Linked DNA regions of Saccharomyces cerevisiae S288C. The gene in region 2 interacts genetically with the main gene of each other region. Each region holds a gene or a part of one and is shown on either strand. Other genes may lie near its edges.

Region 1 (5,561 bases), on a different chromosome or scaffold from region 2:
ATACACCTGGTGACTTTAACTTTAACTTTGACCTGTCGTCGTACAATCAACTTAGTTTCCGAAAATCCACGACGAACCAGTTATACCGAAGACTTTTGTACGACAAGAATACTGTACCGTCGAAACTATCTCTTTTCAAACTGATGAGTGAAGCTTGTGTTTATGTCTGTTGAAACAAGGAAAAAAATGCGGTGCCTGTCGACAGGATATGCGCACAAGTGCAAAATCATCAAAAAATTGAGTACCTAGATCCGGTGGTGTAGGACGAGCAAAGTTCCTTCATAAACAAACCGTAAGGGTTACTGATACACAATTTCCTTTTTGTAAAGAGTATTTGAGCAAATTAGTCAGCGATTGAAAACAACACCCTTTTTTCTATATATAGTAGGTGAAAGTTAACATGCGAGTAAAAGTAGTGCCACATTTCCTTTGCAGCAGGTGCAAATTGGTACATATTTAACAGATAGCGCCGCACCTCATATGCAGCGCGTACATGATACGAGACGACAAGATATGCAAAAGATAATAGTGTCATCACACCTTTATGAGAAGCGAATTTTTTTTTTTTTTTGGTTTAAATATATATATATACATATATATAGATATAGATATACACATGTATAGATGTATTCTAGTTATGCTTATACCTAGAACTGATCAGACCAGATCATACCTGGTATAGAGCTTAATCGATAGAAATTCAAAAATATGGAGGAAACTAAGTACTCTTCGCAGCAGGAGATAGAAGAAGCATGTGGTTCAGACGCTTCATTGAATGCTAGAGGTAGCAATGATTCTCCAATGGGACTTTCCTTGTACCTCTGCCTGGCTTCGTGAACTCTTGTACTATTCATAACTGCACTGGATATTTTGATAGTGGGAACTATTATTGACGTGGTCGCAGAACAGTTCGGAAACTACTCCAAAACAGGTTGGCTCGTTACAGGCTACAGTTTACCAAATGCTATTCTGAGTCTCATTTGGGGAAGATTCGCATCTATCATAGGTTTCCAGCATAGTCTCATTTTAGCAATACTTATTTTTGAAGCCGGATCCCTAATTGCTGCCCTTGCCTCTTCAATGAATATGCTCATTGTCGGTAGAGTTGTTGCTAGTGTTGGGGGAAGCGGACTTCAAACGCTTTGCTTTGTTATTGGTTGTACGATGGTTGGTGAAAGGTCACGTCCATTGGTGATTTCCATCCTAAGTTGTGCATTTGCTGTAGCTGCTATCGTTGGTCCTATAATCGGAGGTGCCTTTACAACCCATGTTACCTGGAGGTGGTGCTTCTATATCAATCTTCCTATCGGTGGTCTTGCCATTATTATGTTTTTACTCACATATAAGGCCGAGAATAAGGGTATACTTCAACAAATTAAAGATGCTATAGGAACAATCTCGAGCTTTACTTTTAGTAAGTTCAGACACCAAGTTAATTTTAAAAGACTTATGAATGGCATAATCTTCAAGTTTGACTTCTTTGGTTTTGCCCTCTGCTCTGCAGGGCTGGTCCTTTTCCTACTGGGGCTAACCTTTGGTGGTAATAAATATAGTTGGAACTCTGGCCAAGTCATCGCATATTTGGTTTTGGGTGTCTTACTTTTTATTTTTTCATTGGTGTACGATTTCTTCTTATTCGATAAATTCAACCCGGAACCTGATAATATATCCTACAGGCCTCTCCTTCTAAGAAGATTGGTAGCAAAACCAGCCATAATAATAATAAACATGGTAACATTTCTATTATGTACCGGTTACAATGGGCAAATGATATACTCTGTCCAGTTTTTCCAACTTATATTTGCGTCGAGTGCATGGAAAGCCGGTCTTCACTTGATACCAATCGTTATTACCAACGTTATTGCGGCCATTGCAAGTGGTGTGATTACCAAAAAGCTCGGTTTAGTTAAACCACTCTTAATATTTGGAGGCGTTCTTGGGGTAATTGGAGCAGGGCTTATGACACTTATGACAAATACGTCCACGAAGTCAACTCAAATTGGTGTTTTGCTATTACCGGGGTTTTCCCTTGGATTTGCTCTACAAGCATCGCTCATGAGTGCACAGCTTCAAATTACCAAAGATCGTCCAGAAGCTGCTATGGACTTTATTGAAGTAACAGCTTTCAATACATTCATGAAGTCATTAGGTACAACTCTTGGTGGTGTGCTTTCAACCACTGTTTTTTCCGCCTCCTTTCACAACAAAGTATCACGAGCTCATCTAGAGCCTTACGAAGGAAAAACGGTTGATGACATGATTTTGTATCGTCTTCAAAACTACGACGGTTCTCATTCGACTATTGGAAACATTTTAAGCGACTCCATTAAGAACGTATTTTGGATGGATCTAGGGTTTTATGCCTTAGGATTTTTGTTTTGTAGTTTTTCATCCAATAAGAAATTAATCATACCAAAAAAGGACGAGACACCAGAAGATAATTTAGAAGACAAGTAGCGCAGTTATTTTCTTATTTTCATTTTATTTTTTTCGCCTTTTATACAGACTTCAACACAATCAGAATCAAATAGGTGTATCGCAATGGAATGTAATTTCTTAAGTATTCTATATGTACTTAAAACCTATTAATATATGGATCAACACAGTATCTTATGAATGGGTTTTTGATTTTTTTATGTTTTTTTAAAACATTAAAGTTTTCGGCACGGACTTATTTGGAATTCAAATTATTAATGAAAGAACAATTAACTAATTAATGTACTTAGTATTTGGCCATTATTATCGATTTCGGGGGCCAAATCTAACCAAATTCAACCTACATTTTTTCAAATTGATTCAAACACCTTTCACAATAAGATTTTTATATCTAGCGCACATAGAATGAAATGTAAACAAAGATTTCAGAAAAATCGTCATTCAAACTTGTATTAGACGAGGGACGGAGTGATTTTTGTGTTTGTTTTTATTAATTGTGGGATAGGATAGTAGCAACTCTTGGAGGAGAGCATTGTCAGTTGTCCAGTCTCTGAAGTTAAGTAGTAAGTTTGCGGAGTCAAAGGGGGATGGCTTTTGCCATTTGTGAGAGTTGTGCGGCAGCATCTTATTCAAATAGAGCTGTATTCTGAAGACCTCTTGTAGAACATCATCCATACTAAAAAGTAAATCGTCCTGTCCCATTACGAGCTGTAGTAGTGCTGTGACCCTCTGTATATTTACGTTGCCATGAAGAAGGTAATGGGCGATATTTTGATACAATTCCTGAGTTGCATGTTGGATTGAGTTTACGAAGGGTCGCCAGACGGCCAGAAACCTCCAGGCGGAGTTAACAACTAGTAATACGGCATCCATGTTTGCATCAGCGCCGAGCCTATACCAGTCACTGAGTAGACGTTTTCTTGCTCTTTTTATGTCCTGACTTCTTTTGACGAGGGGGCATTCTCTAGAGACACAGGCAGTTGCTTCCAGCAACTGCCGTACGGCCGTTCTCATGCTGTCGAGGATTTTTTTTGGGACGATATTGTCATTATAGGGCAGTGTGTGACTTATGAATTGTTGTAGAAGGACGTCTGTGATGTTGGAGATATGTATTTTGTTAACTCTTCTTGAGACAATTTGGCCCTGGATAGCGAAGCGTGCGGTTACAAATAGGTCGTCTTGTTCAAGAAGGTAGGCGAGGACATTATCTATCAGTACAAACATCTTAGTAGTGTCTGAGGAGAGGGTTGATTGTTTATGTATTTTTGCGAAATATATATATATATATATTCTACACAGATATATACATATTTGTTTTTCGGGCTCATTCTTTCTTCTTTGCCAGAGGCTCACCGCTCAAGAGGTCCGCTAATTCTGGAGCGATTGTTATTGTTTTTTCTTTTCTTCTTCTATTCGAAACCCAGTTTTTGATTTGAATGCGAGATAAACTGGTATTCTTCATTAGATTCTCTAGGCCCTTGGTATCTAGATATGGGTTCTCGATGTTCTTTGCAAACCAACTTTCTAGTATTCGGACATTTTCTTTTGTAAACCGGTGTCCTCTGTAAGGTTTAGTACTTTTGTTTATCATATCTTGAGTTACCACATTAAATACCAACCCATCCGCCGATTTATTTTTCTGTGTAAGTTGATAATTACTTCTATCGTTTTCTATGCTGCGCATTTCTTTGAGTAATACAGTAATGGTAGTAGTGAGTTGAGATGTTGTTTGCAACAACTTCTTCTCCTCATCACTAATCTTACGGTTTTTGTTGGCCCTAGATAAGAATCCTAATATATCCCTTAATTCAACTTCTTCTTCTGTTGTTACACTCTCTGGTAACTTAGGTAAATTACAGCAAATAGAAAAGAGCTTTTTATTTATGTCTAGTATGCTGGATTTAAACTCATCTGTGATTTGTGGATTTAAAAGGTCTTTAATGGGTATTTTATTCATTTTTTCTTGCTTATCTTCCTTTTTTTCTTGCCCACTTCTAAGCTGATTTCAATCTCTCCTTTATATATATTTTTAAGTTCCAACATTTTATGTTTCAAAACATTAATGATGTCTGGGTTTTGTTTGGGATGCAATTTATTGCTTCCCAATGTAGAAAAGTACATCATATGAAACAACTTAAACTCTTAACTACTTCTTTTAACCTTCACTTTTTATGAAATGTATCAACCATATATAATAACTTAATAGACGACATTCACAATATGTTTACTTCGAAGCCTGCTTTCAAAATTAAGAACAAAGCATCCAAATCATACAGAAACACAGCGGTTTCAAAAAAGCTGAAAGAAAAACGTCTAGCTGAGCATGTGAGGCCAAGCTGCTTCAATATTATTCGACCACTCAAGAAAGATATCCAGATTCCTGTTCCTTCCTCTCGATTTTTAAATAAAATCCAAATTCACAGGATAGCGTCTGGAAGTCAAAATACTCAGTTTCGACAGTTCAATAAGACATCTATAAAATCTTCAAAGAAATATTTAAACTCATTTATGGCTTTTAGAGCATATTACTCACAGTTTGGCTCCGGTGTAAAACAAAATGTCTTGTCTTCTCTGCTCGCTGAAGAATGGCACGCGGACAAAATGCAGCACGGAATATGGGACTACTTCGCGCAACAGTATAATTTTATAAACCCTGGTTTTGGTTTTGTAGAGTGGTTGACGAATAATTATGCTGAAGTACGTGGTGACGGATATTGGGAAGATGTGTTTGTACATTTGGCCTTATAGAGTGTGGTCGTGGCGGAGGTTGTTTATCTTTCGAGTACTGAATGTTGTCAGTATAGCTATCCTATTTGAAACTCCCCATCGTCTTGCTCTTGTTCCCAATGTTTGTTTATACACTCATATGGCTATACCCTTATCTACTTGCCTCTTTTGTTTATGTCTATGTATTTGTATAAAATATGATATTACTCAGACTCAAGCAAACAATCAAAGAAATCTTTCACTGCTCTTTTCTGTGTTCCATTTAGTTTTTAGTACGATTGCATTGTCTATATACTGTATTTACCAAATCTTAATTTTAGTCAAACATTAATGTTTACTTTCGTATTTAAGGATGTGTATACTAAGCCTTGGGAAAATGCGTGTTCCTTGTGCCATCC
Region 2 (8,713 bases):
GAATTGTAGGGCGAAAAGAGCGTCATCTTGGAACCAGGTGCCATCACGGGAAATGTATGAAACGTGGAGGCAATTTCTCCAGGAATATATTTGAAGTTATCATCACTGATTTCATTAAAGGTATTTTTTCCGTTCTCAAAATCATCTGGTTGTAAACCTGGAATGAACAGAACTATCATTTTCTGTAAACTTGACCTGTTACAAATATCAATCCATTTGGGAGAGTTGTTTTCAGCCTGCAACAAGTATTGAGTCATGTCTCTTACATCCTTTATACCAATACCTTTTTCAACCACAGACTTTAGCAATGTGCATGTCATAGGCTTTGCCTTTTTTTTCTTCTTATTCTTATTCACTTCCGATACCACATTTGTATGATCATCCTCTTGTACAGAAGTCTTGGATAACCTTCTTTTCTTTGATCCCAAAGCCAAATCACTCACGAAGTTAGTGTCAGGCCCTTCTACTTGCATGTTTGCCTGAGTATAGTCTATTATTGTTTTCTTCCTCAGTCATCCTTGGTATTGCCATCGAGCAAAAATCTTCCCTCCATTTCTATTGTGTCCTCGCGCCACTTATAAAATACTAACAATAAAATAATAGTGAACTACAACAATAAAATATACAAAAATATGTTTATACGCAAGGGTTTTGTGGAGTGCACGTTGGCGAAGCAGAGGACTTAAGTAGGCGTCTGATTTCCGTGCTGCTTAACTTCTCGCTCCAGCCGTCTTCCTCCCTTCCTCCAAGTACATTAACCACATGTACTGCCAATGGGCTCATGCCTTTTTCAATCCTAGTCTTATTCACAGTCTCTGCCCCACTGACGGTTTCTCTACTCACAACTAAACATTCTATCTCGGGTACTTTCCCTGTGGGGCCGCACACGTCCCTTAAGGGAACTAGTTCTACGGAGAGATCCGGTTTTAACAACTTGATGAATTGATGTACGTGCCTGCATCGTGTATCATAAGGTTCAATCAACTCTTTGTATTTCTTGTTTTGCAAGAGCTCATCGCACGTAATTCCACAAATTAACCTTTGTGACGTGATGAATGTAGAGACGCTCAACAATATTTTATGTCCATCGTGAATGTGGTCGAACGTTCCGCCCAATGCGGTGACATGAAATTTGTTAGCATCTTTGGGACCTTCTATCTCTTCCATTATATTATCGTGTAATGCATAATGTTCTATACTATGGTATTGTCCTTGTCCCAACTCTAGCTTCCAAGTTTCAAAAGTGGATTCCTGTGGCAATAAAACCACTTTCCATTGCAAATTACTCTCGACGAAATGAATATTGTTGAATATGATGTTGATTCCGCTGTTGATCATTCCATAGCCCAAAAGGACATCCCTGGTAATACTGTACATCTTCCCTAGCGCAGAATCCAACTGGAATGAGGTTTTGAATTCAGGTACAATCACGATGTCTAGTTGACTTTGACATTCTCTTAAGAACGGAATAGTTTGCCCTATAATCCTCTGCAAAGTAGCACTAGGCGGTGTATAAGGAAGAACAATCAAAACTCTGGAATTTTCCTCAACCATCTTACACTTCTTTACTTTAGATTTTTAGGTTTAATCACGTCTCTTTTTATGACGGTCCTTATTTTTATCTTTTTCCATTACGTACTCTTGAAAAATTATATTACACTGATATTTATTTTGGCATTGTGAGTAAGAAACCTAAAAAGGAATAAAAAGGCTACAAACCAGCATGTCTACCGCTACCATACAGGATGAAGACATTAAATTTCAGAGAGAAAACTGGGAAATGATAAGGTCACACGTTTCACCCATAATATCCAATTTAACAATGGACAACTTACAGGAATCGCACAGAGACTTATTTCAAGTCAATATACTTATTGGCCGCAACATAATTTGTAAAAATGTTGTGGATTTTACTCTGAACAAACAGAATGGCAGGCTAATCCCTGCTTTATCCGCTTTGATTGCCTTGCTAAATTCTGATATTCCAGATATTGGAGAAACTTTAGCAAAAGAACTAATGTTAATGTTCGTGCAGCAATTCAATCGCAAAGATTACGTGTCCTGCGGAAATATCCTTCAATGTCTGTCCATTTTATTTCTTTATGATGTAATTCATGAAATCGTGATCTTACAGATTCTATTGCTACTCCTTGAAAAGAATTCTTTACGACTGGTCATTGCCGTGATGAAAATATGTGGCTGGAAACTTGCACTTGTCAGTAAGAAAACCCATGATATGATTTGGGAGAAGTTAAGATATATTTTGCAAACACAGGAGTTATCTAGTACACTACGTGAGTCGTTAGAGACTCTGTTTGAAATAAGGCAAAAAGATTATAAATCTGGGTCTCAAGGTCTGTTTATATTGGACCCAACTAGTTACACAGTTCATACGCACTCCTATATTGTTAGTGATGAGGATGAAGCCAACAAAGAACTGGGAAATTTTGAAAAGTGTGAAAATTTCAATGAACTAACCATGGCGTTTGATACGCTACGACAGAAGCTGCTGATAAATAATACGTCCGACACAAATGAAGGTAGTAACAGTCAATTACAAATCTATGACATGACATCTACCAATGATGTCGAGTTTAAAAAGAAGATTTATTTGGTTCTGAAAAGTTCATTATCAGGTGACGAAGCGGCTCACAAATTGCTAAAATTAAAGATTGCGAACAATTTGAAAAAAAGCGTGGTAGATATAATCATCAAATCTAGTTTGCAGGAATCTACATTCTCTAAATTTTATTCTATTTTGTCCGAACGTATGATAACGTTCCACAGGAGTTGGCAGACAGCTTACAATGAAACTTTTGAGCAGAATTATACACAAGATATCGAAGATTATGAAACTGACCAACTGCGAATCTTAGGTAAGTTTTGGGGACACTTAATATCTTATGAATTTCTTCCAATGGACTGTCTTAAGATAATTAAGTTAACTGAGGAAGAATCGTGTCCTCAAGGAAGAATTTTCATCAAATTTTTATTTCAAGAGCTCGTAAATGAGCTCGGATTAGATGAGCTGCAATTAAGGCTAAACTCCAGCAAGCTTGACGGAATGTTTCCGCTGGAAGGAGACGCCGAACATATAAGATACTCCATAAATTTCTTTACTGCCATAGGATTGGGCCTGCTCACAGAGGACATGAGAAGCCGGTTGACAATTATTCAAGAAGTTGAGGATGCAGAGGAAGAAGAAAAAAAATTGAGAGAAGAGGAGGAACTTGAAAAGTTACGGAAGAAGGCCAGAGAGTCACAACCAACCCAAGGGCCAAAAATTCACGAATCCAGGTTATTTTTACAGAAGGACACCAGAGAAAATAGTAGATCAAGATCGCCATTCACAGTGGAAACAAGAAAACGTGCTAGATCCAGAACTCCACCAAGAGGATCGAGAAACCATCGTAACAGATCCAGGACTCCGCCTGCAAGAAGGCAACGGCATAGATGAAGAGCCCGGCCAAACAAACATTACACATGTAATCGTACATATTTACATAGAACCGTACACGCTTTTAGCCAAAAAAAAAAGAAAGGTAGAATATAAAATAAAAACTCGTATTTCGTATTAAGACAAATATACAGAAATACAAATGAGATCATAAACGAACTAAAATAGGAAAATGAAAAAAAAAAAAAAAGATTAGCGAAGGCAAACCAGAAAGCAGTCCTTTGATATAACAGAGAAAAAGAAGATTATCAAAGCCTTAATTTAAAGTTAAAAATATTGGGTATCGTTTTTTAAATCAAGATTTTTTTTGTTTTTTTTTACAATTGAGTAGACTTATTCATTGGATAGAATACCCCAGTATTTTTCAACACCGTAAGCACCGTCGGCCTTCCAGTAGTCGTTGAAGGCAGTGAATAAGAAGGTATCAGCACCACAGGAGCTGGTAATGGCGGAAACAGCGTCCTTTTGATTTTCCTTAGATGGAACAGCAACACCGTAAGTCTCACCCTTTGATGGCCAACCAGACTCAGTGATAACAACATTCTTCTTACCATCACAAGCAGTCCAGACTCTTTGGATTTGTTCTAGTAACCATTTACCGGAGTCTTGGGCAACTGTGTTCTTGTCAAAGTAAGCATGGGCATTAACAGCCATGTAGTCGGAGTAGTCACACAATTCAGGGTTGTTGATCACAGCAATAAAAGTATCAACAGAAACAACTGGACCAGTGTAACCGGCAGCCTTCAAGGCAGATCTACCAGAGTCAATGTATTGACCGACTTGGGATGGGGTAGCTTGGTTACCGTTAACCAATTCGTTACCAATGGAAACAGTGGTGACATCGTCCCAAGAACCGTAAGATTCAACAGCAGACTTGATGGTGTTGACACCGTCTTGGATTTGGTCAACGTAGTAAATACCTAAAAAGACTTTTTGGTTCGAAGCCTTAGCCTTGAAAACATTTTCAACTTGGTTACAGTCGGTACCGTACAATCTAATGACTGGGAAGTCAGTCAATTGAGCTAAATCGGAAGCAACTTCCGAAGCGGATTTACAAGCACCGCTGGACTCGTATGGGGTATAAGTGATACCTCTGACACCAGAGGCAAAGCTGCTGACGTCTTCGCCGGAAGAACTAGAGGAAGAAGCTTGGGAGGAAGAGGAAGATTGAGTAGATGTAGCAGCAGAGCTGGAGGCTGGAGATGCGGCAGCAGAAACTTGTGAGTTGTTCTCAGAAGAGGAAGCAGCAGCGGTAGCTACAGAAGCAGCAGACGATGTTGTACTGGTAGCGGCAGCTGGAGCGGAGTTGACAACAGCATTTTCTTCCAAAGCAGCAACTGGAGTTGAAGCGGCACCATTAACAATGATAGTGGTTTGTTTTTGAACAGTGGTAGTGACCACAGCACGCTTGTCCTTGTGTTCGTGGTTAGCGGGAGCAGCAAGAGTAGCAGCAGATAAAAGAGAGGCAGAAGCAATTAGGTTAGAGAGACGCATATTTTTCTAGTTTGCTTTTCGGTATGGCTTGCTAGTATATAAACGATTGTAGATGTAAAAGAATGACTTAGTTGGATTTAGTTAGATATCTAGCTGGACCTTTGTGTAAACACTATTAAAAGAATAGAATAAGGGCTAAAAGAACTACTAAACAGAAAACAATTATGACAGAAGATAAAGAATACATATCTATTAGTTTTATAAAACAGAGATCTTCTCCTCGAGGAATGGGAGAAAACAGAAAAAAAAAAACAAAAACAACGGTGCCGTTTTTGAAACAACACCACAAGAGAAAATTTCTGAAAAAAATGCGCGTGAAAAGGAATCATGTGCCTATTTTCCTCATTTGGAGAGGCTAAACGAAAAGGGAAAAGAGGTGCGTTGCGCGTGTTTCTAGGGAGAAGATCCTATTGCAGCAGGGTGTCGCGCGAAAAGCGGTGCCTACAAATTACAAAACCCTCTGGGAAATGACCGTGCAGGGTCGTTTGTGGATGCATCTCGATTAGGCCGGGCTAGGCATCTTGATTCTTTCCCAAAATGGAGTTAACGAGCTCGATTGGGCGTTAATTGATGGATTTGGTTACACTGATACGAATTGAGCCCGTTTATCATTCATGCAGCGGCTTTATGGAGGGTGTGGAAGACGTTAGCGATGTTATGCTTTCCACTTGCTCTACTATCTTCCATCAAACCCACCTAATAAAGCTGAAGGTTTTGCAGGGGCAGAAGTCGTGGCGCAATAAGTTCAATAAATACTTATAATATTACTTACTAGTTTAATCATGTATGTAAAAACTCGTTGCGGTATGCTGTCGTACTGGCACACATTTTTTTTTTTCATTTTTATTTGCTTTTTTCTTTGGCACCGGGGAAGAATTTTTCCCCACTCTATATATCTTGCTGCGTGTGCAGACTGGCCAGCTGCTCACACAATGAAACGCAATGGAATGTTTAGTCGTTTGTTATCATAAAGATCTCATTCAGTGCCTTGGAGTCCATCAACGCGGCCCTCTTTTGTTTTATCCATTTGGAGCGCACCGATAGTCTTGTGTTTACCGCATCGGGGATATTGGATGCAGATTCACTAGATTTTAATTTTGACGTCTTTTTCGTTTCTTTGGTCTTTTCCGCCCTTTTTTCCTTCTTCAATCTCTTCTCTTCCTTTTTATGTTTCTTATGCTCCTTTTTGTCCTTCTTGTCTTTTTTCTTGTCTTTCTTATGCTTTTTGTGCTTCTTGTGCTTCTTTTTATCACTGTCTTTATCCTCTTTGTCGTCATCATCTTCATCTTCGCTATCGTCTCCTTCCCTCTTTCGTTTCTTCGCGTTGGAGTAATTTCTTAACTTGTGAGTCTTTGGATCCCACGTGCTTGCTAAAACTTCACCCTTCACAAAATGGATACCCCATTTTCCGTCAATAATCTTCTGCTTTCTCTGCGTGTCCAATTCCTCTGATATTTTGCTTTCCTTTCCGTTCAGCCTACCAAGAATTCGCTGGAAGACATCCAACCCTGCGCATTCACCATTATCAAACTCGTCTTTTTTGTCTTTACGTTTTAATTTAGCACCGAGCCCAACGTTGTCGTCCTTAATTGACACTTTGATATGCGAAGTGTTCGAATTCATGGGGGATAACCCCAGACCCATACCGGGTTTCCATCCAAACTTTTCTAGAAATTGGTGCCCGAATCTCGAGGTGTCGTTACTCCATGCCGTATTTCTGGGGTCTAAACCAAACCGCTGTTTGGTTCTTGTAGCTGCCAAACCCATTCTGCTTCTTTGTTTAATGGTGTAAGCTGCCTATATGTTACTATTGAGTACTCATCTCATCGCTTCTTTCAGAACAAAATTTTTCATATTTTTTTTTTTTCCTTTTCTTTTTTTTTTTTTCTTTGACTGTTACCCGGTTGTTTATATTTGTAGGAAAACAACAACGACAGAGAAAATATCCTTGCAGTGGCGGCTAATTTGTTAGTTGACTGATTGATCACCTTCACTTATTAAAGTAAAATCAGCATACAAGAGATCAGAAGGGAGAAAGAGAGTGGGCAAGGCTATAGTACTTTGAAGAAAGCATCTTTGAACCGACCAGTTCTCTTCACAAGCAAAATCTATATGACTAACCGCAAGGGGCAAAGGGTTGTGAGAGGGCCCGTCTTTCTCCCGCTATAGCCGTCACTGGTATCCCTCCTGGCTGCACAAATCCGATAGAAAGGGGAAGAAGGAAGTTTAGTGCCACCTTATAGCACGCAGTTACTGTTTACGCTAAGGAGAGGCATACTCAATTTTTATTAGTCGCCTTCTTTAGTTGCTGCGTTTTTATCCACGGTTCTCTACTAAATGCTTGCGATAAGCGCTTCTATTTTCCTCCCCACCGCGAGGCGGAAATGGCACATTTTTTTTCTTTTGCTTCTGTGCTTTTGTTGTAATTTTTGGCATGTGCTATTGTATGAAGATAACGCGTGGTTCCGTGGAAATAGCCGGAAATTTTGCCGGGAATATGACGGACATGATTTAACACCCGTGGAAATGAAAAAAGCCAAGGTAAGAAAGTGGCAATATTTTTCCTACAAATAGATCTGCTGTCCCTTAAATGATTACCATACATATATATATTTATTACACATCTGTCAGAGGTAGCTAGCGAAGGTGTCACTGAAATATTTTTTGTTCCAGTTAGTATAAATACGGAGGTAGAACAGCTCTCCGCGTGTATATCTTTTTTTGCGCTATACAAGAACAGGAAGAACGCATTTCCATACCTTTTTCTCCTTACAGGTGCCCTCTGAGTAGTGTCACGAACGAGGAAAAAGATTAATATTACTGTTTTTATATTCAAAAAGAGTAAAGCCGTTGCTATATACGAATATGACGATTACCGTGGGGGATGCAGTTTCGGAGACGGAGCTGGAAAACAAAAGTCAAAACGTGGTACTATCTCCCAAGGCATCTGCTTCTTCAGACATAAGCACAGATGTTGATAAGGACACATCGTCTTCTTGGGATGACAAATCTTTGCTGCCTACAGGTGAATATATTGTGGACAGAAATAAGCCCCAAACCTACTTGAATAGCGATGATATCGAAAAAGTGACAGAATCTGATATTTTCCCTCAGAAACGTCTGTTTTCATTCTTGCACTCTAAGAAAATTCCAGAAGTACCACAAACCGATGACGAGAGGAAGATATATCCTCTGTTCCATACAAATATTATCTCTAACATGTTTTTTTGGTGGGTTCTACCCATCCTGCGAGTTGGTTATAAGAGAACGATACAGCCGAACGATCTCTTCAAAATGGATCCGAGGATGTCTATAGAGACCCTTTATGACGACTTTGAAAAAAACATGATTTACTATTTTGAGAAGACGAGGAAAAAATACCGTAAAAGACATCCAGAAGCGACAGAAGAAGAGGTTATGGAAAATGCCAAACTACCTAAACATACAGTTCTGAGAGCTTTATTATTCACTTTTAAGAAACAGTACTTCATGTCGATAGTGTTTGCAATTCTCGCTAATTGTACATCCGGTTTTAACCCCATGATTACCAAGAGGCTAATTGAGTTTGTCGAAGAAAAGGCTATTTTTCATAGCATGCATGTTAACAAAGGTATTGGTTACGCTATTGGTGCATGTTTGATGATGTTCGTTAACGGGTTGACGTTCAACCATTTCTTTCATACATCCCAACTGACTGGTGTGCAAGCTAAGTCTATTCTTACTAAAGCTGCCATGAAGAAAATGTTTAATGCATCTAATTAT

The links.
Region 1: mutations in CWC22 (region 2) and YCL068C together harm fitness less than expected from each alone (positive genetic interaction), as found in Saccharomyces cerevisiae (one large-scale study listed by BioGRID).

What each region holds. Positions count from the first base shown.
Region 1 is NC_001135.5:8,626-14,186, forward strand, and holds YCL068C (uncharacterized protein), read right to left. Parts: upstream 3,661-5,561; coding exon 2,878-3,660; downstream 1-2,877. Other genes in the region: VBA3 (basic amino acid transporter), read left to right, coding at 1,081-2,457; HMLALPHA2 (homeodomain mating type protein alpha2), read right to left, coding at 3,761-4,393; HMLALPHA1 (transcriptional co-activator mating type protein alpha), read left to right, coding at 4,657-5,184.
Region 2 is NC_001139.9:1,045,008-1,053,720, forward strand, and holds CWC22 (U2-type spliceosomal complex subunit CWC22), read left to right. Parts: upstream 1-1,723; coding exon 1,724-3,457; downstream 3,458-8,713. Other genes in the region: RNH70 (Rnh70p), read right to left, coding at 1-473; CAB4 (putative pantetheine-phosphate adenylyltransferase), read right to left, coding at 637-1,554; SCW4 (putative family 17 glucosidase), read right to left, coding at 3,791-4,951; PXR1 (telomerase inhibitor), read right to left, coding at 5,903-6,718; ATP-binding cassette transporter YOR1, read left to right, coding at 7,817-8,713. UniProt on the Saccharomyces cerevisiae protein: May be involved in pre-mRNA splicing.